Linked DNA regions of Bombyx mori. The protein of the gene in region 1 interacts with the protein of each later gene in a pairwise test. Links are inferred from orthologs where the notes say so. Each region holds a gene or a part of one and is shown in the gene's direction. Other genes may lie near its edges.

What was found.
Region 2: the proteins of ralA-binding protein 1 (region 1) and ras-related protein Ral-a interact in a two-hybrid assay, tested with the Drosophila melanogaster proteins (6 studies listed by BioGRID). The link is inferred for Bombyx mori from reciprocal best matches to the Drosophila melanogaster genes Rlip and Rala.

Annotation. Positions count from the first base shown.
Region 1 is NC_085113.1:5,980,609-5,998,086, reverse strand, and holds the end of ralA-binding protein 1, read left to right. Parts: intron 1-1,017; exon of another isoform or gene 1,018-1,200; intron 1,201-1,496; exon of another isoform or gene 1,497-3,142; intron 3,143-5,071; coding exon 5,072-5,181; intron 5,182-6,413; coding exon 6,414-6,565; intron 6,566-7,605; coding exon 7,606-7,786; intron 7,787-8,996; coding exon 8,997-9,121; intron 9,122-10,321; coding exon 10,322-10,505; intron 10,506-10,870; coding exon 10,871-11,602; 3' UTR 11,603-11,695; downstream 11,696-17,478. UniProt on the Drosophila melanogaster protein: Participates in receptor endocytosis during interphase, is also involved in mitotic processes when endocytosis is switched off.
Region 2 is NC_085114.1:15,867,829-15,885,306, forward strand, and holds the end of ras-related protein Ral-a, read left to right. Parts: intron 1-154; coding exon 155-329; intron 330-483; coding exon of another isoform or gene 484-534; exon of another isoform or gene 535-2,408; coding exon of another isoform or gene 2,409-2,525; exon of another isoform or gene 2,526-7,195; intron 7,196-10,051; coding exon 10,052-10,168; 3' UTR 10,169-10,459; downstream 10,460-17,478. Other genes in the region: GATOR2 complex protein WDR24, read right to left, coding at 11,438-11,566, 12,568-12,723, 13,688-13,790, 13,866-14,038, 14,704-14,840, 14,904-15,062.

The DNA of each region.
Region 1 (17,478 bases):
TGTGAGACTTATGAGAGTACCATATACTAACTATTCTTTATTCCGAAAAGCATTAATTCCCACGGTAAACTACTCTAACATTTTCATTTAACGAAGGTTAGGTGGTAACAACTAGTAAATAATATTTTCACCTCAGCGGCTCAAACATACCGCTTTTGCTTCGAGACAAAAGTGAACAAAACGCGATTTTGTTTCGAGCGTGGGTCAAAGTAGCTCTTTAATTTTTCAATCTTTAGTGCCACGAATTGACATTGTTCAACCATGAATTTCAAACATTTGAATTTTACTGTGCTCTGTCTCTGTCACATGCATATAAAAAAGCGAGTGAAAAAACAAACCCCTTCGAAATTCAATTTTGGAATTCGACCACAAAAAAAACACGTTCGGAAACGCGTAATACCCTATATTTGTAATCTTCGATCAACAATAGTAACTAGATAAAGGGATACGTACAAAATTAAAGCAAAAACTGTCCGCGTGAATATATACTTATATAGCTACATTCGTTTACTAACAAACGGAGAAAAAAGTTTTGAAACACTTTTACTTTCAAACTAATAACAACTATGGCACTTAGTAATAAAGTCACAAATCTCCAAAACATTATCTAATACTTACGATCATTCGTCACATAAAACGAGCAAAGCAATAAATTACTCCTGTCACTTACCAATAAAAAGACATATTTTAAACAACTTTTAATGTTAAATCAATCTTAAAGTGCAACAAATAAAGTAACTTTTCCCTTAATTGCTCTGAGAACTAACATCGTTTTGCTTTATTTATTTTTGCTTCTTGAAATGCCGATTTCTATTTACTACAGGAGGTAAGGGAGTCGCGCTTAACACTAAAATAATTTATTAATGAATTAAAGTAAAAGTTTAGTTGTTTACTTTTTATGTTTTGGAAATGTATGTTTGTTAGTATCTATACATTACTTATTATTTTATTAGCGTTACGTTTTTGTATAATATATATTTTTAAGTTTTCGCGACCAGTGCACATAATAAAACAACGTTTAAACGGTTTCAAGCGTGGTATTTTTATTACAATGTTTCGGCCACATTTCAGTAGCCGTGAGCACGGAAGGCAAAGATGTCCAGTGTCAATAAGCGGAGTTCTTAGCTGGCTTATAAAAGTCATCTCTTGTTTCTCTGGCGACAATCGAGATCCATTCTGCACACGTGATTGCTAGGAAAGCTAAAATAAAAATGGAAAGCTAAGTATCTAATGAGAGTCCAACAAACAGACACAAAAGCAGCATTAACCAATTTTAACCAACTAATTTTGAAGTGCTGCTAACAAATTTTAAAAAATTATTACAACACAAATCTACTCCATGCATTTACTGTTCTGTTAAGCAAAAGTTTGTCCATGTGTTGGCCGAGCCTTGGCCAACATTTGTAGCGGTGGTTAAAAATCGGTAATTTTGTTCAAAATTTAATATTATTTATAAGTTTAAAGCTTACAATATAGTTTATACTTCATGTACTTACCGAAAGTAAGATACTCCGGCCGTTAAATTGCTTTTTCGGGCCTTATTTTTGCAACTTTTGAATACACACTGCGGTATTGTGAGACGGGTTGAAATTGGCTGTGTTTGAAGTGAACTAAACAAAATAAGAGCTCACATTTCAAGTGCGCTGTTATTTGACGAGACGGATTTTATGCACCGACCCGAAATCTAGTTACTATTGTTGATCGAAGTTTGTAATAAAGAAATTGCGTTTTTTTTTTAATAGTTATTTCAATCTATTCCTGTTCATTTCTATATATCTCTTAAATAATATGTGTTCTCACTGCTGAAGTGAAAAGTTATGTGTGCTACACGAGAGCAAAGTTTTTTGCATCTCGTCCTGTTGAATCTCTCACTACGCTTAGGATTCTAATTTTGAATCACTCGCTATGCTCGTGAATCAGTCATAGAATCCTTCGCTTGCTCGGGACTCAAAATCAGTGTGCTTAGCGCGAGTTTTTTAAAGTTCTCGATAGCGTAAAGGTTAGCCCAATTTTTTATGCAGTTGGAACAGCGCTCCTAGCGGCAAACGTAGGCAAACTATGGAATGGGTCCATACAAATATGAGTTAACTTTTACGCTATCGAGAACGTTAAAAAACTCGCACTAAGCATTCTGCACTCGAAACAAAAAACAACTTTGCTCTCTTGTTGCATAAATAACTATTTCAAAACGGAGCAGTTCCAATAAAAAAACCTTTGTAAATTATGTTTAAACGTACCATTGTAGGTTCCATTATGAGAAGTCGTTTCACGGTAACGCGATTCGAAACGTTTACAGTCGTTCAATGTACGCAATTCGTAACGCCTGCACGAATGGTGTTGCGATTATACTTTTGCTGAGAACACTAAATATTAATCTATCGTAATAAAATATGTTGGCTTGTTTGGTTAAAATATTGTATCAAGTGAGATCGGTAATTTTAATGGCAATGATTATTTCTAATCGTTATACCAATTTCTGCTGGTTTTTTGGGTGGAAATTTGCACGGGTAGGTACCGCCATCTTGCCTATTTCTGACATATGCGTGGCACTAATCTAAAGACTTGGACCGCATAAATCGGCATAGAACATGTCACATTGAGTTATTAGCCACGCAAATAGATATCTATTTTAGTTTTTTATGATTACTAATGAAACAAATATCATAACAAAATCAATAATACTAGAATGTTCTATTGAGTGTAAACAAGAATCTTTTTGAAAAAAATATATTTTTATTACTCTTTTTTGGACGTCAATCAGGGTAAAAAATACAAAAATACTTTGTCTTATCGGATGTCGGAAAAATTTTGAAGCATGTTTTTCCTCGTCTACTCCATGTTTCACTAATGACCTATCGTTAGTTCGTGCTTATGTTTGAGAACAATGAATATTCGTAAAAAAATTGTTTTCGTTTTTATTGCTTAGATAGATGGACGAGCTCACAGCCCACCGGGTGTTAAGTAGTTATTGGAGCCCATAGACATCAACAACGTAAATGCCGCCACCCATCTTTGAGATATGAGTTCTAAGGTCTCGGTATAGTTACAACGGCTGCTGCACCCTTCAAACGGAAACGCATTACTGCTTCACGGCAGAAATAGGCAGGGTGGTGGTTTTTTTTTTCGGCATTATTGAAATTAACTATGAACTTTAGTAGTCAATATCAATGATTTATTTCGAACATTATGACTTGATTCATTTTTATTTTCCCATACAAAATTATGACCGAATGGAGATAAAAATAACTAAGTGCGAACTTATTTCATATACACATGCTCTCTATTCAATTTTAGAAAAATGGCGTTTATTAAAAAGCATATTTTTTATTGTGTTTATTAAATTAATTAATCAATTTTGCACCATCACGATTTGGCATGCTGAAGCCGCAGTTTGCAAGTCTTTAGTACAACGAAAATTTATAATATATCATATACATATAAATATATAATATCACCTTCACACTACACCTACCAAGCTTCATCTCTGCACTCCCCTAAGGTGGACTGTTAGAGAATGCCTATGGCATTAAGTCCGCCTTTATACTTTCTAGTGTAAGAAGTTATAAATAAAATAAAATTTTGCATAAAAACGTGCAATTTTTCAAACTAACACTTACAAAGTCAAACATGAGAGTGAGAGAAAAACTATTATACATACCAAAAAACGTTTCATACAACTCTGATAATGTATTATCTGTGCAAATAATTTGAGGGCGTGTACGATAACGCAGAATAAAATTTAAATTGTTCCATAGTGTTTAGTAAACGCTGTAACCTTTTTTTTTTTTTTTATTTAGTTAGTCTATTTTGCTTTCGCGTTCAGTAATGACGATGTTTCGTTTTATTATTTTGTTTTATTAACATTACCGTCGAAACAATGAATCCTTTTGCCAACGGATTTTTATTAGACGGTAAGCGTAACATTTCTATGTATTATTACTACTATGTATACTACTTCTGTGTATACTAGCTACTCTTAGTGAGCTTAATGAATTGATAAGATTATTTAGTTCGTACACTATATTATCTGATATCGATCGACATAATTGAGTATTTTGTTTTAGGTATTATTAAAAATTATCATAAATTTAGTTCATTCGCCGATGTAAAGTTATTTAACTATTTCTGCTGAGATGTTTTGGGATATATGAAAGAAAACATTTTAATTTACTTGAATAACATATGTTTTTCTTTCTGTTTTTGTTTTTAATGGTTTTACGACGAGCTTAGTACGACAAATGTTGTACGAATTAATTCTTGTTTAGTCAACATTTCAGCCAGCTTATGTTATGTTGTATAATAAGTAAAATACATAAAGAATATTAAGATGCACAAATTCGGAGATAAAAGTTTTCCATTCTTATCGTAAAAGTAGTTTATTTACACAAAGTTACATAGATTGTTTTACCTTGGAAATAATAGGTATCCTATAATTGCGCTTTTATTAGCTTGACTTGTTTTTTTTTTATTGCCCTTGTAGGCAGACGAGCATACGGCCCACCCGATGGTGAGTGGTTACCGTCGCCTGTGGACTTCAGCAATGTGCCAGGGGCAGAGCCAAGCCGCTGCCTACCGCTTAATACTCTCCACAAGCCTCGTTTGAAGAAGGACATGTCATAGCGCTCGGGAAACACCGTGGAGGGGAGCTCATTCCATAGCCGGATGGTACGTGGCAAAAAAGACCTCTGGTAACGCACTGTGGATGACCGCAGTGGCTCCAGGTAGTATGGATGAACTCTACTCCGGTGGCGGGCGGTGCGATGGTAAAAACGAGATGCCGGTATCATCTCGAACAACTCCGCAGAGCACTCCCCATGGAACATACGGTACAAAATACAGAGGGAACCGAAGTTCCTCCGCAGACCCAGAGGTTCCAAACGATCCGTGAGGATGGGGTATTTTGTCTATGCAACGGAAACTTTCAACGTAATTTTGGTTACTGGAGCCCATAGACATCAACAACGTAAATGCGCCACCCACCTTGAGATATAAGTTCTAAGGTCTCAAGTATAGTTACAACGGCTGCTCGTCCACCCATATAAGCAAAAAAAAGTCGTCATTTTTTTTTCAGTTGCGCTCCCTATATTCGGTGTACCACTGCAACAGTCTGTGGAGCGCTCTCGTTGCCATGACGACACCGGTCTACCGCTGGTCGTCCGAGACAGCATCGATTACTTACAGGTATACCTAATATGTATACGCTTCGTGAATCCAACGTCCAATAAAACAATCTTATCGTAGTTACAAATCACGACGATTGCTACTAAAAATGTTTTTAATAGTTTTTTTTAAATGTATTATGTGATGGTGTTCTATTGTATAGTCAACTTTCTAAATCTTTGATAAATAATTTTGCACTCATAATTTACACTAGACGATGACCGTATTTTTTTTTTTTTGATAAATTGTATTTTTTTAGAAATTGTATTTAAACACGAATTACATATTGATAAAATAATGAAATATTCCAAGAACGTTTAGGCATTTTTAAGTGACCACGTGAGTTAAAAAGACACAAATAATATAAATGAACAATTCATTTTCTTGGTCTAACCTTAAACCAAACACTCATTGGCTTCGGGTGACTTAACAACGCTATCTGCTGAAATAGCTTTAGTGTTATTGTGTCTTTAAAGCAGTTAGTTTCTCTCAATTAAGAAAAATAGTATTATTATTCGCCAATAGACATCAGGAAGAGTCATAAAGTTGATTATCGATAAAGTTGATTATTGAAAACACGAATAAAACAACATTTTCTAAAAATAAATCGTAGCTAGATCGATTTATCGCCCCCGAAATCCCCTGTATACTAAATGTTATGAAAATCGTTGAAGCCGTTTCCGAGATTCAGATTATATAGAATACAAGAATTGCTCGTTTAAAGGTATAAGATACGCTTCGTGAATTCAACGTATAATAAAACAATCTTATCGTAGTTACAAATCATGATGGTTGCTATTAAAAATGTTTTTAATATATGATGGTGTTCTATTATATATAGTCTACTTTCTAAATCTGTAATGAATAATTCTGCACTCATAATTTATATAAGGAAGAGAAATATTTGGGCCAAATAAGATGCTTATAAACGACATTCGAAATTTCCTCTAAAATGTTAGCAACATCGTCAGGTTTGAGCCCCATGTGTTCACCTACCAGCCCGGTGACGCTGTTATGATCTCTCTAGACCATCAGCTTAGGTAGATAAAAAAAAAGATAGTTAATATATGATATGGTTCGCACTTTGAATTATAAGGAAAGAAAAAATACTGACGACTACATCTTCTTTTTCGGAACTTGAAAATGTCGTTAGCGCATTTCAGGATTTTGGCGGATTATCTATTCTCTAGCTCTAGCTACGACTACATGTTAAATAGGATTAAATCATCAAAAATATGATATTTATATTCTAGGCACACGGATTAAAATCGAAAGATATATACCGGACCGAACCGGATAAGATAAAGTTTCAACAACTGAGGAAACTGTTCACGGATCGAGGGCCTACATTCCCGTATCACTGGGACGTTCCTGTCGCTTGCGCTATGCTCAAAGCTTTCATCAGGTAATGAACCCTAATACTTTTTAATATTCCAACTGGCAAACGTCTGTTCAAACTATGATAGTCTCGTCTGTCACCTCGAAATGGTATCGTGAAACTCGGCATGTCTCTCAACATGACTTGGCACTTGGCATATATGGTACTACCTATCGGCAGAGTATTCGATAACAATATACTCTATTTATTAATTGCCTGAACGCTACAATAAACGGAAACAATAGACGTCTTACTGTGAATGGCGCCACCCACTTTAAGGAGGTTAAGGTCTCTATTGAATTGAATAACAGCTCGACTATTAAGCAGACTTTTTGGCGGAAACGCGAAGAGCGAAGTTGTGTGAATTGTTTTATTTTGTCTATTTAGTGTATCTTCAGGTTTAAATGTGTAATAACGGTGGTTTTTTAACTGTTTAATATTTGTGAAAGGACGTAGCTTCTCGGGATCCTCCCAAAACTCGACTGGAAAAGTCTCAGTAAATAATCACCATTTTACTGAGATTATATTTCATCCCATATCATATCATCTCATCTCATTTCATTTAATTTCATCTGAGGTGATTAATTTGGGTTTCCATCGTTTTTTAGTATTCAAAACTGTAAATAATTAAAACGGCGAATTATAAAAAACTTATTACTTGATGCCGGCTAATGCACAAACCGTGCCGGAGCCAAATTGTAAAGAAGAAGAAAACTATTTAGTAGCCAAGATAAGCACGATAATAGTAACGCCCATGCGGAAGCCTCCCTATACGCCCCACTACTACCAATCTCTTAATTATAATATCAAAATTAATAAATTATCTAAATGTCTTTACACAATTCATTTATTAAAATAATAAAAACGTCACGTAAATAATTATGACTGTGCTAAGATTCGTAGAAACATGACAAATTCGTTGCGATCTCAATAATTGTTCACATATAATTAGTATAATAGTTATAGGTAATTAAAATCTGACGCTATTTCGTCACAAATAAAAGTTTGACTGTTTATCAATGTAACGATTTAATGTACGATTATATATACGAATCTCCACATCGCAGTGAACTCCCGGAATCGATACTAACACAAGAGCTGCACGGTCAGTTCGAACAAGCCACCGCTATAGCCGAACCTCAGCGAGAAGCGACGATGACGAACCTCATCAATAAGCTGCCGAACTGTAACCACAATCTGCTGGCTTGGCTGATGAGACATTTCCAACACGTTGTCTCCAATGAGCAGGTTTGTTACTTTTTTTCCTTTTTCTTAGATCATTGGACGATCTCACAGCCCACCTGATGTTTAGTGGTTACCGGAGCCCATAGACATCTATAACGTAAATGCGCCATCCACATTGAGATAAGTTCTAAGGTCTCAGTATAGTTACAACGGCTGTCCCACCCTTCAAACCGAAACGCATTACTGCTTCACGGCAGAAATAGGCAGGGTGGTGGTACCTACCCATGCGGACTCACAAGAGGTCCTACCACCAGTAATTACGCATATTATTATTTTTTTACTCTACTTGCATTTGGCACTTTTGTTCTTCTAACTAACCGATAAAGTCGGATCGGATACGATATTTCCAAATTTGTTTTTTCCTTTTTTTGTATGTTCTGTTGTAAATTAGCCATGTAAATATTAATTCGTATCTTTTGGGTTTGTGGCGATATAACAGCCTTACCTTGAGGCATTGGTATGGTAGTGCATACATTTCTACATTATAGAGCGATAAGGTCAGATCTCTCTCAGATCTTATTCAAACATATTTTCCATAGGAATTCGTCTTTACTTGGAATCTCAACTTTGGCTATAGTTTGTGAATCAGTCGTTCAAAGAATCTGTATAATATAAAAGAAAATAAATCAGCTAGTTAGTATTTTCTTTTGTCTGTTAGCTATTAAGTATTATCAATAAAAAGTTATAGAAAAAGAGAAAATGTGATACTTAAAAGTGAATCTTAATTTTGAAATTCGACCATAATAAGTGATTATTATGGTCGAATTTCAATCATTAGTCATCCAAAAAAGTATTTTACGGCTATAGATGAACAAACAAGCTTACGGTCCAACTGATTTAATCTATGTCAAGATAAAAAATGTAGGGTGTCAAAAAACCATACCATTTAGCGAAAAGGAAATAGACCACTACCCCTACAATCAATAAAAAAAATATTAATTTCACAATCTAACCAAATGTATAGTTTTAGTATACGTCATTACGGCATTTTATTCCTTAAAGACCTCGAATGGTCCTTACCAGTGATTGTAAATACATACAGTTAGATAACATAACAAGATTCAATGCTATCGGTAGGCAACAGATTGGCTTTGCCCCTGCTATTGCTGGAGTCCATGGGCGACGGTAACCATTGTACCAGATGGGCCATGTGTACTTCTGCCTTCAAGGACAATAAAAAAAAATCCAAATATAATAAATTTAATATTCACAGGTGAATCAAGCGAACATACAAACGATAATGGCAGCTATGGGAGCGGCTTTGAATATGTCACTCAATCTGCTGACTTACCTCGTAACGAAATCGGAAAAACTGTTCCCTAACGTCCGACTCACGAAGTAAGTTATTAAACTGTAATCTATATACTAATATATAAATCTACTGTGGTTTTTACGAATGTTCCGTTATAACTACTGAACCGTGCATCCGATTGACTTGAAACTTGGTATCCATGTAGAAAATACATGTACTTAATGGATAGGCTAATGTTTATATGAGTGTTGGACTCCCTAATGATAATGACAATAAATAATAATGTTAATTTTAAATGCCTAGCGAAGCGGGCGAGTACGGCTAGTGTATTTATAAAAATAAAAAAAACGTTTGTCTCTTGGCTTTATCCTGCCATTCAGCTTAGGACAGATGGCGCGCGATTAATGTCAATAAATTGATGTTTCGGTCTCCAATAAATATTTCGCGATACGAAACACAATCGCCTCGCTGTTCTCAGAGGCTAGGAGCCCATAGACATCTACAACGTAAATGCTGCCACCCACCTTGAGATATGAGTTCTAAGATCGTCTTTTCGCATAAAAAGTGTACAATTTCCAAAATTATTCGAAATTGAGTTAATATGCGGAATCATTTGGTGTCACCAGTATTTTTCTCATAAATACTGTCAAAAGAGCGTAGTTTCGTTTTTTTTTTGTTTACCTTTATTTTGGCTACTATTGACAAAATTAATACATAATTTTATCTTACTTTAAAAGACAGATAATGTAATTGGAAAAAATATAAAAAATAAATGTTGCAAATATGTTTAATATTAAAAATATCACATGTTAAACCTTTAAAACATTCTCCTGTAAAATTAGTAAGTTTTGAGATTCTTCTTTTTCTCCACCCTATCCCACTAGGTGTGGTCGGCACAGCTAATTTTTCTCTTCCATTCTCTTCTATAAGCCGTCATCTCAACACTCACTCCTCTCTCTCTCTCTCATATCGTCATTCACACACTCCATCCATGTCTTCTTCGGTCGACCTCTTCCCCTCTACCTTGCACTACCATTTCCATACATCTACTAGTCACATGCATCTTCTCTCTACGCATCACATGTTCATACCACGCAAACCGTCCGCTCCCTAATTTGTTGCTTACCGGGGCCACTTTCACACTTCCTCTGATATACTCGTTCTTTATTCTTTATTTTGAGATTATACAGTTTTAATGCGAGAAGACGATGGTATTCGTACACTGTGGAAGTCAATCGTGTTCACATTAGTTAAGTACGTATTTCATTTCGTTGTATTCGTGACAGATACGTGCCGCCTCTCCACTCGCTGCCGGCCGACTTCCCCGACTCCGCCGCCGAGATGAGCGCGGAGCTGCGGAAACAAGAATCTCTTCTCAGTCAGATCCACGCGGAGATGCACGCCGGCTTCATAACGGCCGCCAGAGATCAACAACTATGGGAGGCGCAGCGAATTGTAACACAACTCAAGGTAATGTTAGAACCCGTAGTACGTCTAATGAATACGCCTCAAGAGTTATTTGAATTCACACTCGTTTTTTATTTATTTATTGCTTAGATGGGTGGACGAGCTCACAGCCCACCTGGTGTTAAATGGTTACTGGAGCCCATAGACATCTACAACGTATATGCGCCACCCACCTTGGGATATAAGTTCTAAGGTCTCCGTATAGTTACCACGGCTGCCCCACCCTTCAAGCCGAAATGCATTACTGCTTCACGGCAGTAACAGACGGGGACAGAATAGACTCACAAGAACTCTTACCACCAGTAAAATTTGAATTTTATAGAATGATTGACTAATAGTTATTATCGATCATTGATGTTTCGTTACAGCGTAAACTTCGTTCGGTACAAAAGTCAACGGAGCCTAACGCGGTGCCCACGCAGCAATCATCCGTAGACGAGAAGCAACCGGACGAGGAGACTACGCGAGTGTGCTCGCAGCCGACCGAAGCCGAGAAGCCGGTCCGCGAAGTCGAAAGGCCAGGCCGCGAAGTCGAGAGGCCAGTCCGCGAAGTCGAGAGGCCAGTCCGCGAAGTCGAGAGGCCAGTCCGCGAAGTCGAGAGGCCAATCGACGCGTTCGAGCCCAAGGAATCGCCGCTCGACCAAGACGCGACCTTCGAGGCGGAATTCGAAGACAACTTCGACTTCAAGCCGGACAAAAAAACGACCACAGATGAGACACAAGCTACGGAACCCGTCCAAGATAAACCGAAACTCACCGAGAAAGAACTCAAAGTGCTGCGTCTCGAATTAGAGAACGCTGAATACCTGCAACTGAAGTCGTTGTTGCAAGCGAAGATCAATTCGGAACAATTCGAGATTGTCAAGCTGAGGAGCTACGTCGCTCTGAAGAACAAACAGGAATGCAACCTACAGAATAACAAAGATGCCAAAGAAAACTCCAGCGTCGACGAGCAAGAGTTAAAACAGAGGCTGATGAAAGAAAACGCTTTGCTCGAGCAGAAAAGACTGAATTTGATCAACCAGATCTTTCAAGAGAGGGTCGCGTGCATCCAGCTGAAGATAGAGCTCGCGATGAAAGAGATTCTGTCTAAATCATAAAATCTTCGAGTCTCGAACTAGTTTTAAGTTTATTTATGCACTTCTATTCCATGTAACAAATGTAAATTAGTAATAAAACCAGTTATGAACTAATTCTTTGTTTATCTGACGAAGGCAAAACGTGGACTAGCTCCGTTTTTTTTTTTTTTTTTGAATTGAACATATCAAAAAAATATTGAGGGAGTCCATATTGTATATAATTAACACCACAGTTGACACAATAGGAGTTCTAAGTTATACACATTATTATTTTTTTGTCCGTTTAAATTTTCGGCGGTAAAAAGGTCCAGACTATCTTCTTTTTTCCCCTCTCGTGCGTTCCGACTTACGCATCATAAAAAGGTGCGTTCTTAAACGCCATAATATGTTAGCAAAATCGGATCGCAGCAAAAATATAAAATCTTTCAGAAATTATTAAGTGTCAAACTTAGTTGCGTAATAATTATCCGAACAAAATGTACATTCATGACATCACCGATAGATAGATAGAGGGCGTAGGCGAATGATAAGTGTTGATTAAAAAGAATCGGTTTTATTAATTCCTATATTATTTTACAACCTGTTTTTATTTGATTGTCTATTTACAAATTGATTCATTTTTAAACGCTGTTACGTAGTAAATAACGTACATTATTAAATATATACATAATATAATCAGACTGCGGTGTCGTCAATCGTCCGTGACCCCGAAAACTAAAGTATTCGAAATGTCGGAAATAAGATAATGACAATAAAATCGCGAATTAAATCTTAAACGTGGTTGTAATTATGTCTATGACTCGCGTATACCACACAAACGATTTAAAAAAAAAAAAACAAAAGATTTTTTTTTATCGCTTAGATGTGTAGACGAGCTCACGGTCTGGTGTTAAGTGGTTTCCGTAGTCCATAGACATTAACAAAGTAAATTATAACGCTCACCTTGAGCTCACCAAAATCTTAATTTTTACAGTACCTACAACGGCTACTCCATCCTTTAAACCAAAACGCATTACTGCTTCACGGCAGAAATAGGCGGATGGTGGTACCTCCCAGTACGGACTAAAAACACGTCCTACCACCAGAAAATCATGAACAATTTCTTTTTAAACAGCTCCTAATACGTACGGGTCTCAAACTGAACTTTACGTAATCAAAACGATAACACCAGAACTGCTTTTTTTTTCTATCTAAGCTGGTAGCATTGAGAGACTATGCCAGCGTAATCTAACCAGTAGGTGAGCTCACGGGACTCAAGCCTGAGGTGCTCAAACTGAAAATCTATTTTGCATAACACTCTTGGCCCAACGAACACAGAAGTAAAATTTATTTTCAAGGCTACGAAATTATTACAAAGATTAGAATTTAATCAATTATAAATTTAATGTTTATCGACAATTCGATACGTAATGATTGACAACCGGGAAGTCCTTGTTGTTAGTATTTATTGTTCTACAAACACAATGAAAGTGCTGCATCATTTTTATTGAGTTTGATTTATTTCGACATTTTTCGGTTGTTACCCCTAAATCTCTTCAATTCTCACTATAAATTTAATAACCTATAATATGTGTTATCTATGACTTTTTACTGGTGGCAGTGATTAATAATGGCTGGCAAGTAGGTATCGCCATCTTGTTCAATTTTGTCGCCATGACAATATAATTCGAATTCAAAATTATATCTATACATATAAATAAAATTGAAGTGTCTGTTTGTAATATTGAAATAACCATTTTTCACTACATGCATATGAATATATATACGGTACATACACTAAAACTGTCTGTCTGTCTGTCTGTCTGTTTGTTCCGCCTAATCTCTGAAACGGCTGGACCGATTTTGACGAGACCTTCACTAATAGGTAGCTGATGATTCAAGGAGTAACTTATGCTACTTTTTTTAGACTAGCTTCGCCCCGCGGCTTCACCGGCAGTACGACAATAAACGCGGATAACATCGCGGGGTTCATCTAGTAATTTAATAAAAACTTCACATATATATTTTTTTTAATATACCTATCTGTCAAGCAATGCAACTATGCTATTGTTTGAAATCTGCAAGAAGAAAACAATGTTTCTCAATAAATACGCTGGTAACGTCTGTTAACGACCGAACACAATGAACCGATATTGTGTAATAAAAATGAAATTCGCAAAATTTAAAAGTAAATTTGCGTAATTACATATGCTTGTTCGTATTGTGAGTGCGCAAGAACACGGGTACCAACATCCCGCGTTTATTGCCGCTTTCAAGGCGACACTGGATTTGTTTATCGCTTTATTTCTTCTCTAATAATACTCACCACACAATTACTGTGTTATATTTCTAATATTAGCTGTATATCATTGTGAGGACACCGGTTCAAGGAAAATACTATTAATTTTACATGATAACGAAATCCACATGTGTTGTAGGTACCAACCGCAATATAGTTATTATTTTAATTAAAAAATAATTGTACTTACTTTTTAATCGCGCCTTTATTAATTCGATTAATTTTTAGCGTAAAAAGTACGTGTTACACTTTTTGTATGGCATGTAAAATCCTTTTTTTATTTTTTTTTTATTTTTTTTTTATTTGTGGTCATAGGTTAACAAAGATTAATAGATTAATATTAATAAATATATCATAATGTCCTGCTAGTAAAGCTTACCATACTTATGGTCACTATCGACACAGCCTTGATTAAATATTGGTAATCCGTGCAAAACGTCGTTGCGATTTTTATTAACGACTTTTAATATACCTAGTTGATATAAGCTTTAATAAAGTGAAATAAACTGAATTTATGCGCAAACCCGGATCTAGTAAACACCGTAATGTGAATTTATCCACGTACATTAATAAATTAAGTCGAATTCACAATTCAGTTGTTTTGGAAGAGCAGTTAAGCCACTCAACGGACCAAAACGTGAAATTCCCCAACATACTAGCAATGCGCAGCTAAGCCACTGCCTACCCTTGAGAAATCCTTCGAAAGGATCGGCTGGAAGAGGACATTTCTTAGCGATCAGAAAATAACGCGGAGAGAGAGATTATTCTTTCTTGTACACAAAAAAAGGAGTTCATTTCTGATCCAGTCGGTACGTGGAAAGCATGATCATAAGAACCCGTAGATAGTAAGCAATTCTGTTGCGGGCGCAAGTGATGCGACGGTTTTAAGAAAAAATGAGGTTATTTGGAAGAATTTGTTAGGCTAGTTAGGAAAAAAAATAATCTCTTTTTATTTTCTTCTTACTACTACGGATCGATGAACTTCAAGAAGGTCACAGCATTACATTTCTAAAATTCTGAAGCCTCACAAACGTACCGAGGAACATGGCATTTGCTTCATTTCATTTTTGACATTTCTGTTTCACGTTAATTAGAGGGCTGTAAACTGCTGGATGAAATAAAAGTGAGGTTAATCATTGTAAGTAATTATTTACATCATGTCTATTGTTTTCCTTTTGTAGCCCGTGTAGGCACTAGTAGGCAGACCAGCACCTGATGGTGAGTGGTTACCATCTCTCATGCGTCCATGAGCGATGTCAGAGGCAGCGTCTTTAAGCCCTTACCTACCGTTGTTGTACCTATGTTTTCTAAACCTGGTCAATTTAGATTTTGTCATTTATTACTACATAAACAGAAGACTAAATAGGTTGTAAATATGTAATTGAACCGTAATTATTTATAGTCGTCCATAAGGAAATCGGTAGTGTTATTCGAAAACGAGTTCTACCTTTATTTACGCCACGAAGCGTGAATTATAAAATGAGTTTCAAGAAAATTAACGTTACCATTTCGCTGTACTATTTTTAGTGTGTAGCTTGAGTCATATTCCACAAATAAAACTAAATAGAGCAACGATTCAATGAAAATAAAACGGTCCACTCGATAAAAGTCGTGATAACAGAGATCGTTATTTTATAATAATAAAGAAGTAATCTATTTACGTGGTTCTTGCTAATATACAATGTAAATTGAATATTATAGGTAAGTTTCGAAGTGTTTCACAAGTGTGAGACCGTGGCAATGTTTATTTTAATCACATATAATCACAGGTAAATCTAAGATGTCTAATTAAAAAGTTGGGTTCACTTAACAGAACAAAGCGGTACTTCACGCATGGACAACGACTTATGCTTTATAAAGCACAGGTTTGACCATCGTTTCCAAGTACTGTACGGTACTTTTTACTGGTGGTAGGACCTCTTGTGAGTCCGCGCGGGTGGGTACCACCACCCTGCCTATTTCTGCCGTGAAGCAGTAATGCGTTTCGGTTTGAAGGGTGGGGCAGCCGTTGTAACTATACTTGAGACCTTAGAACTTGTATCTCAAGGTGGGTGGCGCATTTACGTTGTGGATGTCTATGGGCTCCAGTAACCACTTAACACCAGGTGGGCTGTGAGCTCGTCCACCCATCTAAGCAATAAAAAAAAAAAAAAAAAAAAAAAATACTTCCTTTTGACTCCATTTGGAAAAGATGACGAAGACATTAATCTGCCAAAGAAATCTTCAATGGCATGTAGTCGCCATCACTGCTCTCGATTGGGCTTTTACAACTATCAAAACGAATTGTGACAATACTGAGACTTTAGAACTATATCTCAAGGTGTGTGGCGCATTTACGTTGTAGATGTCTATGGGCTCCAGTAACCACTTAACACCAGGTGGGCTGTGAGCTCGTCCACACATCTAAGCAATAAAAAAAAAAAAAAAAAAAAAAAGAACTGCACAATTCTTAGACAACTCCTCTGTCAATAACCGAAAGCCATTATTATTAACAAGCATTTTAATAATGCCACTATATCACTACGGTCTCTCTATTTCAAGGTCTGCGTCTAGCGTCTGCGACAGCCTGCGAATGTAAATTACGAAAAATCTTATAAAATATATACATAGTTATATTTTTAAAACGTATTATTAACTAGTGATTTTTTCCCCTACCTAATCGTTAGTAGCCTTAGGGGCTATTCCAGCGACGCTCGGACGGTTAGGTGAGCTCACAGTTTCAACCTGAGATAATTTCTAACACTAACCCTAGCAAGAGTGCTTCGCTGAATCTACCACCGGATCGAAATAGCGACCCGCCGAGAAGATGCGGCGAGAAACTTAATGGGTACACATAGCTTCCATTCGTTTTTCCCTGGACGAGACTAGAAATAGTATTGTACTTTGGGGTTGAGAAAGGCGTGAGCTCGATAATTACAATCCCCGAGTTAAGTTAACATCTGTGCGCTTAGAGCGAGTTTTTTAACATTCTCGATATCGTAAAAGTTAACTCAAACTTGTATGGCGTTGGAACGTTTGCCTACGTTTTCCGCTAGAGGCGCTGTTCCAACTGCATACAAATTTGAGTTAACTTTTACGCTATCGAGAACGTTAATGAGCTCGCACTAAGCACACTGAATACCCTCACATCGCTTACAGAAAGGTTAACGTACTTCGAGACTCGCTACTCGTGATAATCTTGGTAAACTATGATCTTTCAACCTCTTTATAAATGTTAATTTATATAAATTTGAATTATCTCTTGTGTTCGATAAAGAACCGGCATCCGTGATAACGACTGATGCTGTAGACAATGGTAGCGAGTTAAATCCATTTAAATCGCTATGCAAGCGCGCAACGATCTCTGCAACTGCCTCAGACGCGTAATTATCAGTCATTCGTTAACGTCACAAAGGACTTTGTTCAGGTTCACTGGTTATATTTGAGTCGTCTATTATCAAAGGTGGCAATCTGTGCATTTGGATAAAAAAATGTTATTGATATGTCAATAAAGATTGTGTTGAATATAATCGTCTCCTTCTAAGAATACGGTTCAAAACCTGCATTAAATAAAGTATTAACTTAACCTGTTATTTATCTAAGATGTCGTTCAGAAGAGTTTCGTGACTGCCAATGGAAT
Region 2 (17,478 bases), on another chromosome or scaffold:
AATTTCACTCAAAAAATTCTGACTATGAAGATCTATACTCGTGATTGCGAACTAAAGATCATTTTAATATCTATAAAAGCGGCGTGATTTTCTTTACGGCTGCGGGAGTTGAATTTTGGCAGGAGTAAGATACCATACTGCCACTTCTTTACAGAGAGCAGATCCTTCGTGTTAAAAACGATGACAACATTCCGTTCCTGCTGGTCGGGAACAAGTCGGACCTCGCGGACAAGCGCCGGGTGCCGCTCGAGACCTGCAGGGAGAGGGCGCACAACTGGCAGGTGCCCTACGTCGAGACCTCGGCGAAAACTAGGGACAATGTCGATAAGGTAACTTCTTCCTTAAGCTCTAGTACTTAGAGTCTTTATAAGTCCAGCAGAACCCACATTGAGAAATAGGCCACAGGTCAAGGATACCCTTGGTAAGGTAATCATTTCTTCTCAAAATTATTTAGATGGAATTATCTTAGTTCATGTTCTGCAGGCTGCCAGACAACTCAGAATATTGGATGGATTGCGGTTTATGTTCAGGTAAGCTTTTTAATTGTTTCGGTTAGGAAGAATAACTTGGAAAAATAGAAACAGGGTTTTCTGTTACTGAGAATAGATTTGAATTAAACAGTTTGATTTTTATTTCGTGCTTCATGTGATAACGGAAGTACTAGGTGTGCTTGGCTCAATTATTTATTCTTAATAACAAGTTGTGGTATTAAACAAGAGCACAACCACATTGTATGGAAATAATAAAAACGATTATGTTAATACAAAAGGTATTAAGCGGTGAACGACTGATAAGCAGTTAATCTAGGATTAGGGTTGTCCCATACGATAAGATATATCGATTAATTATTTATATCGACTTTACGATTAGAGTGTATTAAAGAAATATAAATAGGCAATTGTAATTAATTAATTATGTGAAAGATATTTAATATCCGCCTGTCGTCATGAAAATTATTGTGATAAATATGTAACGAGGTGTGCATAGGGACGGGTTCGTAAGTGATTACTGCAACCCTGGGGGTCGCAACGATGCTGTCACTAACTGTGAAACAAAGATGAGTTCATGGAAGTGTGTGTGAGTGAGTAAGTGAGAGAGAGAGAGAGAAGTGACGTCCGACACCCATTATGCGGGCCGGCTCGGAAACGGAACACTTGACTGCTTCGAGGTAGGATTGAGTCGGACGGGGGTACCGCCCCGCGCGGACCCCAACACGCTCCACTGCCGCTACTGACGCACAGTTTTGAGGATTATACAAAGTTGACTTGAGGTGAGTACTCACAGGTGCCCTAGACTAGTTCTGTCGTTACCAGCTCCTCAATCTCCACAATCCGGTACAGTACCTAATTATACGAAGGCTAAGTGTTTTTGGAGATATTTTGTCAACTTTCAAAGGTTAGGCATTACGTCGCGTCACATCTATTAAGATGAGATGTTCTTTTCTGTCCGGCTCCTAAGGCAAAGTTTGTCACATTGTTGTACACGTGCCGACGAGCTCAGGGCTGCTCATCGGAGAGCCTTTGACATACAGACGTTGAAATGACGTACAAGCAGCAACAGCGTATACTTACTAATTAATTAAATGAAATACTTTGAAATATATAAATCTGACAAAATGTATCTCAAAACAATAAGCCTCACTCGTTATTACAAAATATTTTGGTATATAATTTTTAATAGTCGATTGGAACGTGTCACTAGTCGGGTGTCGGTAGTGTCCATTCGAATCGACACTTTTACATTTCCACCAAAGCCAAGCCTGAGCTTTGCACCAGCTTTTGTTACTGTTCGTTTTAAGTTGCGCTTCACAGAGCGCGTGGCTCTGCTTGGCTTTGCTGAAATGTCGAGGCGCGTTGCTCGCTCTGTTTTTTATTTCTACAAATTGTTACCACAATAAACATAAATATTGAAACATTTCGTGGAGCGCAACCCTAGGACGTGCGCGCTGCGTGTGCACGCGTATTTGAATAAACAGATTTAATTGCCTTCTTTAATTCAAGATTTTACTACCTTTACACTCAAATCTATTGCAGTCAATCGATTTTTTTAAAAATATAATTGACAGTAACATATAAACTGGTGGTAGGACCTCTTATGAGTCCGCGCGGGTAGGTACCACCGCCCTGCCTATTTCTACCGTGAAGCAGCTATGCGTTTCGGTTTGAAGGGTAGGGCAGCCGTTGTAACTATACTGAGATTTTACAACTTATATCTCAAGGTGGCTGGCGCATTTACGTTGTAAATGTCTATGGGCTCCAGTAACCACTGAACACCAGGTGGGCTGTGAGCTCGTCCACCCATCACGTATTAAGGTTTATGCGCCATTCTTGATTTCCTTGTGAACAAAATGATATGGTCCTGGTGGCGGGTGTGTGTTGTCTCGTGTGCTGACGGTGGTGTCCGCGCAGGTGTTCTTCGACCTGATGAGGGAGATCCGCTCGCGGAAGTCTGACGACAGCCGCGCGACCAACGGCGAGGGAGGGAAGGGGAAAAAGAGCAAGAAATTCAAATGTGTCATATTGTAGACTTCCTTGATGTATGATGGGCTTAATGATAGACGATTTTGTGACTTGCGGACGTAAGAATAACGATCAACTTCGGCCTCCCTGGGCGCTGATTAAAATCTATGCGTATCTTTCTTATATAACATGTTTCGATAATAATTGTATTAACGATATAATCAACTGCTCATCAATATTCTAGCCCTTTGGTTAAAGCGAAATACAAATCATTTAATTTTGATTATTTAACAATATTATTATTGTTATTACTATAAAGAAGTAGTAGGGATTAACGCTAATTTATTCTTAAAAATAAATAATCCTTAATCGACCGTGCTCCGTGAAAAAAAACGGAAGTTCTAGAAGTTTGTTAAAGTCACAAATTCGACTTTCACGAAATTGGAACGTCCGGGTCTGTACGCGCTTGTGCCAGGCTCGTGTTGCCGCTTCACTACACGCGTTCAGTTTTGTTTCTCATCATTTTGAGGCTTTCCTGTAAATCTATACTTAATATTATAAAGCTGAAGAGTTTGTTTGTTTGAACGCGCTAATCTCCGTCCGATTTGAAAAATTATTTCAGTGTTTGATAGCCCATTTATTGAGGAAGGCTATAGGACAGCGGTCGGGGAACCGGGGTAAATTACCCCAAATGGGGTAAAATTAAATTTTGGTTGTAAAAATGAAACTTTTGTGAGTAAAAAGTATATAGGTATTGCAGTAAAACTTCTTTAGAATCGTTAAATTTTTAGTGATTATTTTCTTTTCAAAATTATCATGGGACTATAATATGAAAAATACTAAAAAGAAGCGATTTCGTTTTTTTGGTTCTTCGCCATGGGGTAATATCAACTTACACAAAACTATTTTGGGGTAATAATTAAAAAAGTTCCCCGACCGCTGCTATAGGCTATATAACATCACGATAAGACCAATACAAGTGGAACACCAATAAATGTTTCAAAATTGAGGTTTAAATAGCTTCTTAACATTCTATAATTAAAAAATATTTTCACTTTCTACGTAAATAAAGTGGGGAGTAAAATGTAGCGTTATGCCAAAGTGACTATTCCACGCGGACGGAGTCGCGGGCAAAAGCTAGTCCTTACATACATACATACAAATCATACACCCGTGACAAGTATTCACTGTACATTAGACAAAACACGGAGCTTAGGCTGTATTCCCGGGAATACTGCGTATACAGAATGATTAAAATAGCAGAATTACTAGTTGCAATCGATTGAGAAAAATGAAAATGCCCTATTTAAATATGTTTTTTGTAATATGGTATTTTTTGGTTTAAATACTTTTATTTCATTCCGTATTGCGAGGTATACCTGTCACCCACAGGTAGGGTGACCGCGACAAGTGCCCAGCTAGAAATGTTATTCTATAGATACATTAAAAGAAAAGTTGCCTTAAAAGAAAATTATTTATCACTTATCATATTTCTTGTAAATGTCTAATTCATTTTTAATCGGGTACTTAATAACACAATCCGTAATCTATATGAGATCGAAACTAAATTATTATCTGTAATATCTTATCAATCGCGACGATGTAATGTATCATATCGTCCAGATCTTGTTTGGACGGTATTGTTGTAAATGGCAATGACGTCCGTCGATATAAAGCAGTTGAGTGATGCCTACGTCTAAACAATGTATCGAGGCGTGAAAGTTGAAACGCTATTTGGTTTAAGCGACATTTTTGCAACTTTACAGGAGAGACATTTAAACTTTAAAATTTGGTTAAAATATAAAAAAAAAATTCAGCTATTTAAATGGGGTAAACTCAATTGAAGATCAATTAAAAACATCGACTTGTTGATCTATACATATAGATAAAATTGGAGTGTTTGTTTGTAATACTGAAATAACCGCTTTTACTATATGCATATGAATATATATCCGGTACATACACCAAAATAATACTTTTTACAATTTTTGACTGTTTGTCTGTTTGTTTGTTTGTTCCTGTTAATCCCTGTAACGGCTGGACCGATTTTAACGAGACTTTCACTGATAGGTAGCTGGTGGTATTAGGAGTACTTTGGCTACTTTTTTTTAGACTAGCTTCGCCCCGCGGCGTCACCCGCGGTACGACAATAACCGCTGGTAATATCACGGAACTCAGCTATAATAATAAAATGTAATGTTTCCGAAGCGAAGCGAGGGCGGGTCGCAGGTAACAAATAAAACGGACCTTTAATTAATTACGAAGATAAATGTCGTGTATTAAGGGAAATGTCGCTTAAACCAAATATTCTTTCACACTTCGATATGTAAGTAGTTCTGACAGTCTGTTGCCAGTGTATTTACATTGTCAATGACACGGTTGCGTCTGAATTGTTATCCGGTCTGTCCTCGACAATAGGCTCCGCCGATCAAAGACTTGTAAGCTAATGGAATAGGACGGGAAAAGTAAGAAAGGAAACTGAACACGTGTTTTGAGGTTAGAATGTTGTCTGTATATGCAAGAAGTGTAGGTGTAACAATGTCCGGTGTGTGCGGTGCTGCCGTTTTGTTGAATACTCACGCATCATGATGGCGTCTTAAGTGAATTATGAAAAGTGGCACCTTTTGGAACTTTGTTATTTGAATATGTTAAAAACTGGCTTTTTTATACGATCCCATACTCCCAATGCCGTACACTTTATTGCGGTGTATATTTGTTTTTACCCTAAAGTTAGGGTATCTCTGCATTATCTTTAAAATAAAAGGATGAAGATGCCATTCGATCAGTAAGTATTCGACAAGACGTTTTTGTTTTTTTATTTTCTATTAAATATTCTTGTTAAAGTCTAAGCTTGTGCTTGCATGTTTTGTATCGATTAAAATAAATCGATTTTTCGTGTTATTTATTTCGGAAACTCAAAAATTCTTAATTAGTATTAAGATTATTTAATTTGTTTGCTGAAAACAATAAATGTACCTATGTAAGCACTATTATTATCAGTACGTCTTCTAGTGTCTACAATCTTACTTTAAGTTCTAGTTTTATTAAGTTAAAGATTAAACGTTAAAAGTGATTGGGCTTGCAGACATTTTATTAGTATAGACATTTTTTAGTATTCGCGTGTGACGTCACTGTCCCCTCGGATCCGACACTGCTCACCCCGGCGTGGGGTCCGGGGGCGGGCCAGCGGGGGGCGCGGCCGTGTACTAAATAATGTGAAATTCCTGCAAGCGTAATCATAATTTTGAATTTCAGCACATTCGAAAATAAATGTTTAAACGTCGTTTTTTTATCGAATTTTATTATATAACTTACAGGAACAAAGTCACAATAAATTATAATAATTATCATTAAAACATCATTTGAATGTGTTAAGCTCTCGTGCTGACCTCACCGCGCGTGCTCTAAAGCGGTTGTCCCGAAAACTGGCACGATTGTCAAATTGAGGGCCTATATTTAGTGATTTTGCTACGTCGATCGATGTTTTCAAAAGCATCAATTTTAGAATGTTGCTAGCTAATTGCGAATGTCAATGAAATTATGAGTACATACTACGTAGTCTTTTTGATTAGTCAAAAGTGAAATGAATTCTGTTTTGTACGTATGTTGAATAGAAGTGAGGAAGCACCATCTCAGTGTATTAACTAGTGTTCGCTGAAAGGAAGCCAATGAAGGTGGCGCCACTGTAGCAAGTGGAACGATTTTAAAAACAGCGCCATCACACTTCAATTCCACCCAGCACACTTGAATCTTTTTAAAACTGCGATATTCATATCTTTTCCATTTCCTACACTAGCACTATTTAGTTCAGTCTTCCAACAATAATTTGCTGTTTACAGATGTACACTTTTACAAGTTGTCCCCTATACAAGATGGCGCTTCTAACTTCTACCCTCCAATATTTGTACTGATAGTAACTTTTACTGAGAGTAATAATAATTGAAATATGATGTTGAGGTGTGTCCGTTCAAAAAGTTACATCAAGTTCAAGATGAAAAAGTGATTTAGTAGAAATATTGTCGACAAGTCAACATTCTGTACAAAAAAATAACAGATGCTTCATTTAAATAAAAATAAAATACTGATTTTTTTGTCGAAGGGAGGTTTGTTTTATGGGATATAAATGAATAAATGATGAGACAGAGTAGTTCATGTTCAGAGAGGTGGCCGATTGAACGGACACTCTTCCATTAACTGGTCGAATGTGAGACGCCAACTGTCCACGGACTTCATAGAGCATGACACTCTGTGACGTCACTGGAGCATTTCATTTAGATCTCGAATGTTCCTGGATCCTGTTTGTTTATTGTAATGCATTGCGGTATATGTATTCATGTAGCATTTCAAACGTCGTATGGCAGAAACCGTGGGCCACACTGTACATCCCACAACTGCCAAATTTCCGTTTTCGGAAGGTTTTCGTGGGTCGATCTTGCATTTCTCATGAGTTCGGATACATTAAAGCTATAAATCATACGTATTACATTAGCTGCATTAAGTCTGATAGTCCTCTTACGCTAGCGGTGTTCACAGGTGCTCACGGTTCGCTGTTACTGACATATTATATGTGTTTAAGTTAATGTCAGTGGAGACGGCCGCGTCCAAATCGGCGCTCCTCTGCGAGACAAACTCATATTTTTTATATTCACATGCATATGTTTAAGTGTATGTATAACTCTCACCGAGATTGATATAAACGATATTATATGCAAGGAAATATAAGGATTTGCAATATATGTGTTGTTTCTCTGTGCATTTAGCGTTTATTTAATGTATAAGGATTGATGTTTTGTGAATGAAATTTGAAAAGTTAATGTCAATTAATAATTAAACTTAAAATGACGAAACTGATGAGACAGTGTAATCACATTTTAAACATTATAAACACAAACAGGAAGCGTTAACTACTTCGATTTTGGATTTCCAAAAAAAGTGATGACAAATTGTACCATAATTGTAAATGAATTGACATAGGGATGAATAGTGGTTTCCCTTGTATTGCTAGAGAGTGAGCGAGAGAGAAAGAGAGAGAAACGATGTTTTCGAACAGATGTCTCATCCCATCACAGTTCCTATCTATATAGTATATTAAAGGCATACCGTAATACAAAAACAACCTGAGTGACAACGTGCTTAGTTTTCATGACGATTGGCTACGTACGCAAACTTTAGTGTTCGAAGCCACAACAATTAATTGAGAAATGGATAACACAACGCAAAATTTGGACCATAAAAATTGCTTAAACAATCTTGCAACAAAAAAAACATTGATATAATCCGGTATTTCATAAGAGTTTCTTTGTTATTTGTTACTTGGGGCTTAAACAAATAAATTTAAAATTTATATAAAAAGGTGACTGTTGCATGTTGTCTGTTTGCCTTTGGTCTAAATAAGTGTGGGATAATTTGGTATCACTATTGGTAAGTACTGCCTGCGTTTTTGCCTATTTTTGTTCGAAAACGTTCTACTTTTTTCAATGTGCTTATGCTTTTTGGCGTGACATGGTTTTATAGCAAAAATTTTTAAACATGTTTGTTGATTATTAGATTCTGTGAAGACCCAAGATTTATATGATTACATTGCCCATGGTAAAGAGATCCTCCACTCCTCTTTATCGGCGGATACACCATGAGCTATACTCTGTTCAATGAGGACATTGATTATACTTTTAAATGTTATTTTATCTAAAAAACATTTTGAAAGGCAAAGTGCTCGATAGTTTACCCTTAAAACGTTTTGTGTTAATTAATCCCTTGTCCTCCATTCGTCGCCTCTATGTACAATCCGCAGGTTCCGTCTCCAGTCAGGTTATATAATGTAAGAATTCTCAGGTATCGAAATGCCCGTGAGAAACTCAAGTATAGGTCTGTAGTAATTTCACACAAAATCCTTGGTATACCTTAACCCGAGACGTTGCCCATTCCGTCCTGAATTAAGTTTTTGACTAGACCCTCAGTGGCCGGGAATATCGTCATTGAAGTCTCCTACACGGTTCAGACCGGATTATTTTACCGAAGCCTCTGAGGAATTGTTCGAGATGATAACGGCATCTCGTTTTTACCCTCGCACCGCCCGCCACCGGAGTAGAGTTCATCCATACTACCTGGAGCCACTGCGGTCATCCACAGTACGTTTCCAGAGATCTTTTTTGCCACGTACCATCTGGCTTTGGCATAAACTTACCTCCACGGTGTTTCCCGAGCGCTATAACATGTCCTTCTTCAAACGAGGCTTGTGGAGAGTATTAAGCGGTAGGCAGCGGCTTGGCTCTGCCCCTGGCATTGCTGAAGTCCATGGGCGACGGTAACCACTCACCATCAAGTGGGCGGTGTGCTCGTCTGCCTACAAGGGCAATAAAAGAAAAAAAATTTTGATACCTATCTCGATTCTCATCCGCATGCGGCTACCCCGACGGTAAGCAATCACCGTTACTGACCTACTGCCAAAATAGTGTTAACAGCATTAATTTAAAGTGTTCCGTCATTAACATAGTTGAAATAAATTGATTTTGAACATTTTTTTAATTAACTAGGTGTTGTAGAATAAAATTGTCAAGAAGACATTTAACTAAAGTAGATTAGATGACGCGTGACAATCGAATGCAGTCCTATTATAACGTCCGTCTGGTGTAGTGGTAAGTGACATGGTCACTACACTAGGGGGTCGCGGGTTCGAATCCCGCCAAGGGAAGATATTTGTATGATAAATATAAATGTCTTTTCCAGGGTTATGGATGTATATTAAATATATGTATGTGTATAATAAAAATCTTACATTTATTTCCGATATCTGGTACCTGTAACACAAGTTCTTTACGAACTTATCACGGGACCAGTTAACGTGGCGTGATTGTTAGTAAAATATTTATATTTATTTATTATTTATTTATTTATTGATATTTAAGTCAGGTTCTTTTTAAGTTTAGAGTTTAAAGAGTAAGTCTATTATTATATTTATTTGGATGAAAATACATTTTTGTCAAGACTTTACTGCTAGTCCAATTGTTGTGCGGGGGTTGCTTAAAATTAAAATGTCTTTTAAGAACTAAGGTCACGTATTGTGTCGACCCACTTAACTAAGTCCCACAGGCACTTCAGCGCTAATATGCAGTCATTTATCAACTAAGCCACCGGTGTCCTGAGGATGGTTGCCGTGAGGACGTACGACCGTTTCATTATTATATTTCCCTACAATGTCGGCTGATGCATATTGGCCCAGACTAGTCATTATTTCAGTTCTTCTGCTGAACCGATTCCAGTACCGCCAGTTTTGGTACATTACCTGTAGACATTGTACCTATAGAACTTGTACAGACATACCTTTTGTTGTCTGCTGCTACTGAGCATTTATATACAGTACAGTCGACGTTACAACCTTCCGGTGAAAAGGCTTTTCTCAATCTAGAGTGTAAAATTAGACACGTTTCGCTGTGTTCTTCTCGAGCTGTATACATGAGCGTTACGCCCTGTAGCTAAGTTTAGCTTATCTGCTTGTTTATGGTTGTCAACAAAGAGTTTCTAATGTAAATTAACTGCATGTAATTCGATTATAACCTGACCGGTCCGACAACTGACTCGCCATTACTTGACAGGCGTTCCTGACCCTTATCCGACAGATGTCACGAGTGAAGAGGGGTCTCGCAGCCGAGGAGGACCCCGCCCCCGACGACGCAGGTAGATGCAAACCGTCGTGCTGTTCTATATCTTAGTTTAACTTATAAAGGAAGTAATTTCCAGCCACTGCGCAGACGTCACGACTCGCCTCCCGCGGCCCGCCCGGGGTCGGCCGGGGGAGGCGAGTGGCGGGGTCTGTGGAGGCCGGTACTAAGTCACCGAGCACCTCCACTACTAACGTTAACTGTCCGACCTCCCATAAATCTGAACAGCCTAACACTATGACCGCCGATGAAGATATCACTGTGGTCAGCTTGTTGTCAATGATACACTCAAAATACAGTTTGTAAATAAGAATACTTATTAAATAAAACCATGATTACATACGTTGCGTTGTTTTCTTTATTATTTGTTCACAAAATATATTCAATACAAAAACATAGCATCTGTACAATCTGTAAATATATTAATAAATTCCCATAAAATTTAAAATGTAATTTTATTTAGCGCGAGTTGATCGAGTGTTGTCTACATTAATATAATAATGAGCAGCGGCGCGACACTAGAAGCTATTTCAGTATGCAATATAATATTGTATTATTGTAAGTTATATCAGTGGGGCGGCCACCCAAAATAGTAATTTAAAATGGAAGCCTTAAGTTAGATAACTTTAGTCTGTTTAAACAAGGGATGGCTGTACTGCATACACTACAGACAAAAAATCACATGTAGTTAGCAGTAATTACGTGCGTACTGTAATAATTGTACTGATACAACTGAGACTGAAGAACTCTTGTCTCAATTTCGGTAGTGCTCATTTTTTGTTATTGAAGTCTATGGGCTCCGGTAACCACTTAAAACCAGGGGGGCCGTGAGCTCGTCTTGAAAGAGGAGGTCGCAGGGGGAGGGTGTATGTCTCAGCGTGCACGTCATCGCCCGCTTAGAGTAACGCACCTGGTGTTAAGTGGTTACTGGAGCCCATAGACATCTACAACGTATATGCGCCATCCACCAAGTTCTAAGGTCTCAAGTATAGTTACAACGGCTGTATCGCCCTTACCTACCCGCGCGGACTCACAAGAGGTCTCGCGCCCAGTGAGATCGCACACATGTATACAAATGTAGACGAGGACTAGTTTAGGTTGCTGGTCTCAATAGATTGGTTACATTTAACGAACACATATTTTTAAGATTTTATTCTAACAGAAACTATGCTTAAATGTAAATAAAAAATATTACAAAAGAGTATTTACTTTACACAAAATAAATCTCTTATCAAAATGTTCTTTTTATAAAAGATGTATAACTAAGATATACAATGATGGAAGAAACTTTGTAGAGTAACATTTTCTGTAAGGAGTACTTCAGCCTAGTTGACAGTGATGTCCGCAGCCGGCGGGACAGAGCTGGTGCTTCTCCATCCACTGGCGCATGTGCTCCAAGTGGCCGCCGTGCGAGCAGCCCTGGCACCACGCGTACAGCCCGCGCACCACCTGCCGCACCACGGGGGCCGAATTACAGTTAGAGTAGAGGGGCTCGAGTCGGGGGGACAGTGTTACCTGTCAGCACGGGGCTCGAGTCGGGGGGACAGTGTTACCTGTCAGCACGGGGCTCGAGTCGGGGGGACAGTGTTACCTGTCAGCACGGGGCTCGAGTCGGGGGACAGTGTTACCTGTCAGCACGGGGCTCGAGTCGGGGGGACAGTGTTACCTGTCAGCACGGGGCTCGAGTCGGGGGGACAGTGTTACCTGTCAGCACGGGGCTCGAGTCGGGGGACAGTGTTACCTGTCAGCACGGGGCTCGAGTCGGGGGACAGTGTTACCTGTCAGCACGGGGCTCGAGTCGGGGAACAGTGTTACCTGTCAGCACGGGGCTCGAGTCGGGGGGACAGTGTTACCTGTCAGCACGGGGCTCGAGTCGGGGGACAGTGTTACCTGTCAGCACGGGGCTCGAGTCGGGGGACAGTGTTACCTGTCAGCACGGGGCTCGAGTCGGGGGACAGTGTTACCTTTCAGCACGGGGCTCGAGTCGGGGGGACAGTGTTACCTGTCAGCACGGGGCTCGAGTCGGGGGACAGTGTTACCTGTCAGCACGGGGCTCGAGTCGGGGGACAGTGTTACCTGTCAGCACGGGGCTCGAGTCGGGGGGACAGTGTTACCTGTCAGCACGGGGCTCGAGTCGGGGGACAGTGTTACCTGTCAGCACGGGGCTCGAGTCGGGGAACAGTGTTACCTGTCAGCACGGGGCTCGAGTCGGGGGGACAGTGTTACCTGTCAGCACGGGGCTCGAGTCGGGGGACAGTGTTACCTGTCAGCACGGGGCTCGAGTCGGGGGACAGTGTTACCTGTCAGCACGGGGCTCGAGTCGGGGGACAGTGTTACCTGTCAGCACGGGGCTCGAGTCGAGGGGACAGTGTTACCTGTCAGCACGGGGCTCGAGTCGGGGGACAGTGTTACCTGTCAGCACGGGGCTCGAGTCGGGGGGACAGTGTTACCTGTCGGCACACGGCGCACAGGTCGGGGTGGGGCAGGCAGCGGTCGCACATGGCCCGGGGCCGCGCGCGCCGGCCGCAGCGCCCGCAGCACACCGTGACGCTGCTGGACTGCTGGGACAACGACCACACGCTGCTCAGCCAGGCGCACCGCACCACCTGCAATGTCGTATCACTTGGACAGCTGTCCTGGACTCTCGAGATACGAGACTAGGTAGTGTTACGCAACATCACTATTTCCAGTAACTACACAAAGATCATAAATCGTACGATGAACAGTTGGCACCCCCGCAGTGTCGCTGTTGGGTGCGGACGTATAACGGATTTAACACATGTTATTAATCATTTCAAATTTTTGTAGTCTTTTGTAAGACACAATTATTAATTTATGTTTTAAGCTTTACTTTAACGACTCGGTCGAGAAGCCGAATGGGAAAGCTAAATATATCGCCTGTTTATTATTAGAGTTGTATAGTATATACTTAGTCTTGCCATAAATACTGTTACAATTAAAAATAAAAAAAAATCTATTGCAAATAACATTTATTACTTTTACAGTGTGTTAGTTTAATACATAAATATAAAACAATTTAAAGTTTAAAAATCTTATTCGAAGTGGTCTCCATTGGCTGCAATACAGTCCTTTAAACGTTGAGGCCAGTTATCAATAGAAGCACGCACTCTTTCCATGGAAAAAATTTTCACTGCCAATCGTACGGATTGTTTTAGGGACTCCAAATTATCATGGCGTTTAGAGCAAGCCGTACTCTCTAAAACTGACCATAAATCATAATCCAGCGAATTAAGATCAGGACTAGACGACGGCCAGTCTTCAGCTCTGATGAAGTCCGAAACGTTCATTTCATTCAACATTTTACTAATACCAAGCGTATGGAGAGTTTTAAAAATTGCATTTGGCTCCATACCTACTTTGTGTAATGCAATCACAGCGATTCGGTTCTCTTTGTCACCCCACTCCATTTTAATATCGCAAAATATTGTACAATGTATTGGCGCCAAAATGAGAAAACTCAATGTAATATGTATATTCAAATGTAATATTTTGTTTATTTTTAATTGTAACAGTATTTATGGCCAGACTAAGTAATACATTGAGTGGTACCTCAGTGGCGACATTCCACAGTTTGTGTTTCTGTAAGAACTCGATGTAGCCCAGCAGCCAGTGCTCCTGCAGACCCTCGTCTATGTACGGGAACAAGTCGCTCCTGCAACAGAGTCCACTATCATCGCACCAGGTCTACCGGAGCAGGTAGTGCAGTAGTGCGGCGGCGCGGCGGTACCTGTGCTCGTGCAGCACGATCATGACGAGCGCGGCGGTCTGCACGTCGCCGAGGTCGGCGTGGTGGCGCAGCGCCAGCGCCAGCAGCGGCGCCGGCTCCACGTGGGGGCGCAGCGCCTCGTGCACCACCCACAGGGGACCAGACTCTCCCTCCTCCGGCTGTGCGCGACACAACTGTGCAATGTTATTAACACTTTGACCTCGTCGACCTCAGGACGCAAGGTGGTCCGTCTACGTGGAGTTGAACGATTAACTTGCTAATCTTTTTTTTTTTTTTATTGCTTAGATGGTTGGACGAGCCCACAGCCTGGTGTTAAGTGGTTACTGGAGCCCATAAACATCTACAATGTAAATGCGCCACCCACTTTGAGATATAAGTTCTAAGGTCTCAAGTATAGTTACAACAGCTGCCCCACCCTTCAAACCGAAACGCATTACTGCTTCACGGCAGAAATAGGCAGGGTAGTGGTACCTACCCGTGCGGACTCACAAGAGGTCCTACCACCAGTAAAATTGGCATTGTCAATATATAGAATATAGACATGAAAAATATCTACCTACAAACCTTAAAAAATAAAAAGTAGACCTAATTTAAAGACAGATTGATTTTTCCATCATAACCGTCGGGGTCGCCGATGAGCACGCGAGGTCATTGTCCCTATGTGTCATCTAATTTTTTTTAAATGACTTCATATTAATTAGCGTAATTCTAAACTCTTCATTAAAATAGATTTTGCTATTGATCACGATGGTAATGTTATCATGTGAATAGTATTCGGTAGTACGACCACTCCTATTTCGTATCAGATAGTTGTAGGCGGCTACCGCCCGCAGCTCACCGTGGCGGCGCCGGGGTACGCGCTGGAGGTCTGCTCCAAGTTCGGTGGAGCGGTGCACGCCGAGCCGTTGGAGCCGCTCGAGCCGCTCCCCGGTGACGAGCTGCCTCCGGGGGACGCCCCGCCCGCAGCCGTGCGACCTTCAACCACGAACAACTTGTAGAGAAAGTGACGTCACACGTGTGTGTGTGTGCGCGACCTACCGTGCGTCGTGTCGAGTATGGAGGGCTGGTGGGCCGGCGGAGGGGCGCGCAGAGGGAAGGCCTCCTCAGGGAGGGTCCAGTCGGCCGTCTCCACATCCACGTAGTGCGCGCTGGCCGCCGACACCCAGCCCGACCCCTCTGGACCACATGCACCAGTTGCTACAGTTCAGTTAAATCAAGTGTGAAGAATAGTTTCATCCAGCCAACAATCAGACGTGTATACTGGGACACTACCTGGACAGTGTCGAAATAAAATCATAAGTATGGCGCGGATCACTCCTCAACTAATGTTTCTGTGTAACTTCAATGTGCGAGCGACTGCTTCGACAAAGGAATAACTTTATTGAAATTTCACCCATAAAGTAGGTATGTATATACCTAGTCAGGTCATAAGTATTGTCACACAGTAAAAACTTTTCTTTTAGAATGCTGGCCACAAAAAAGTTTATTGAATTCGAATTTCGAATTGTTCATGAAAATAAAAATGTATACTTTTAGAATTTTACTCATTTTTAAATATGGAGTGGACGCTTAAAGAAGACCGTGTTGCAGTTATTGCGTTGCATCGTTGCGGTTACGCGCCAATTCAAATTTTTAACATACTGAAAATTTTGAATATAACGATCAACATCAAACGATACAATCAAATCAAAATCAAATCAAATCAAAAAAATTTTATTCAACATAAATGAAAGTACATACTTGTTGAACGTCAAAAGAACTACTAATGAAGACTCTAGTGTAGATGACAGGTCAAGAAGTGGTCGCCCTCGGTCTGTTAGGACTCCAGCAGTGATAAAAGCTGTGAAGGCGCGAATTAAAAGAAATCCCAAACGTAAGCAGAAACTGTTGGCCCTTCAGATGGGGTTAAGCAGAACCACGGTGAAAAGGATGTTAAATGAAGACTTAGGGCTTCGGGCATATCGAAGAAAAACAGGACATCGTTTGAATGCTCGTCTAATGGACCTGAGACTGAAGAGATGCCGCGCTTTGTTGAAGCGGTATGCGGGAAAAAAATATCGGGAAATTCTTTTTTCGGATGAAATTTTTTTTACCGTAGAACAGAGCTACAACAAACAACATGATAAGGTGTACGCACACAGTAGTGAAGAAGCGAGCAACCGTATTCCGCGTGTCCAACGAGGTCATTTTCCATCCTCGCTCATGGTATGGTTGGGAGTTTCTTATTGGGGCTTAACAGAGGTACATTTTTGTGAGAAAGGTGTAAAAACGAATGCAGTTGTGTATCAAAATACAGTCCTGACGAACCTTGTGGAACCTGTTTCTCATACCATGTTCAATTACAGGCACTGGGTATTCCAACAAGATTCGGCGCCAGCTCATAGAGCGAAGAGCACACAAGACTGGCTGGCGGCGCGTGAAATCGACTTCATCCGGCACGAAGACTGGCCCTCCCCCAGTCCAGATTTGAATCCGTTAGATTACAAGATATGGCAACACTTGGAGGAAAAGGGCTACCTGTATGACTGTAGAAACAGATTCCCAAAAAATTGGGTCTAAAGTTGAATTTTTTGAATATATTAACAATTTATCTAACATAAATATTTATAAATTATATACAGATGGATCAAAATGTTCAGGTAGAGTAGCTTCAGCATATTATGATCCACAACTGAAGAAATCTAGATGCTTCAAGCTAGACAGTCACTGCAGTATTTTTACTGCTGAATGCTACGCTATCTATACAGCACTTTTGTATATTAATAATGTAAATAGTTCTGACTTTTTAATTTTAACTGATAGCAAAAGTTCATTGTTAGCACTAGAAAGTGATCTTTTTAGATTTAATATGAACTATATTATTTATAGAATAAAAGAAATATTGGCAAATTTAAACGAAAGAGGAAAGAATGTCCAATTTAAATGGGTACCTGCTCATTGTGGTATTTTTGGCAATGAAGCTGTAGACTGTGCAGTGCGAGGTGCATGTGACGAAGACCACACTAATGTAACAAAAGTACCGTATACTGACTTCCAGCAGAAAATATCGGAAAATGTTAAAACGCTGTGGTATGAACACTGGAGGTCTATAAGTCAAGAAAAAGGGAAATGGTATACAAAGATACAGAATACCCCGCCACATGTACCTTGGTATAACAAATTTAAAGAAGCTAATTCCAGACAATTCATTACCACCATTAATAGATTAAGATTCGGTCATTGTAGAATTCCTTCTCATTTGTTTAAACTACGTTTAGCAACGGACAAAAACTGTCAATTTTGTGTCAATGAGGTCGCTGATCTGAAACATATTGTTATGAAATGTCATAAATATAGTATAAATAGATTAATTTTAGTGTCTGAGCTGGACGATGTTTCTAAGGGTGACTCGCCTTTACAAACAGGCGTAAGGATGGACTTAGAAGAAATTTTATCAAACCCGTTGTATTTTAAACCAATTTATAGATATATTATTAACACAATAGGAAATGTTTAAAAACAAACGAGTAATGTTAATACTTCAATTTGATACTGTTTTGTTTAATAACTACTTGTAAATTTTTACGTACTCCATGCGTGAAAATTAATTTAAGATAGGCTATAAGGTCTTGTA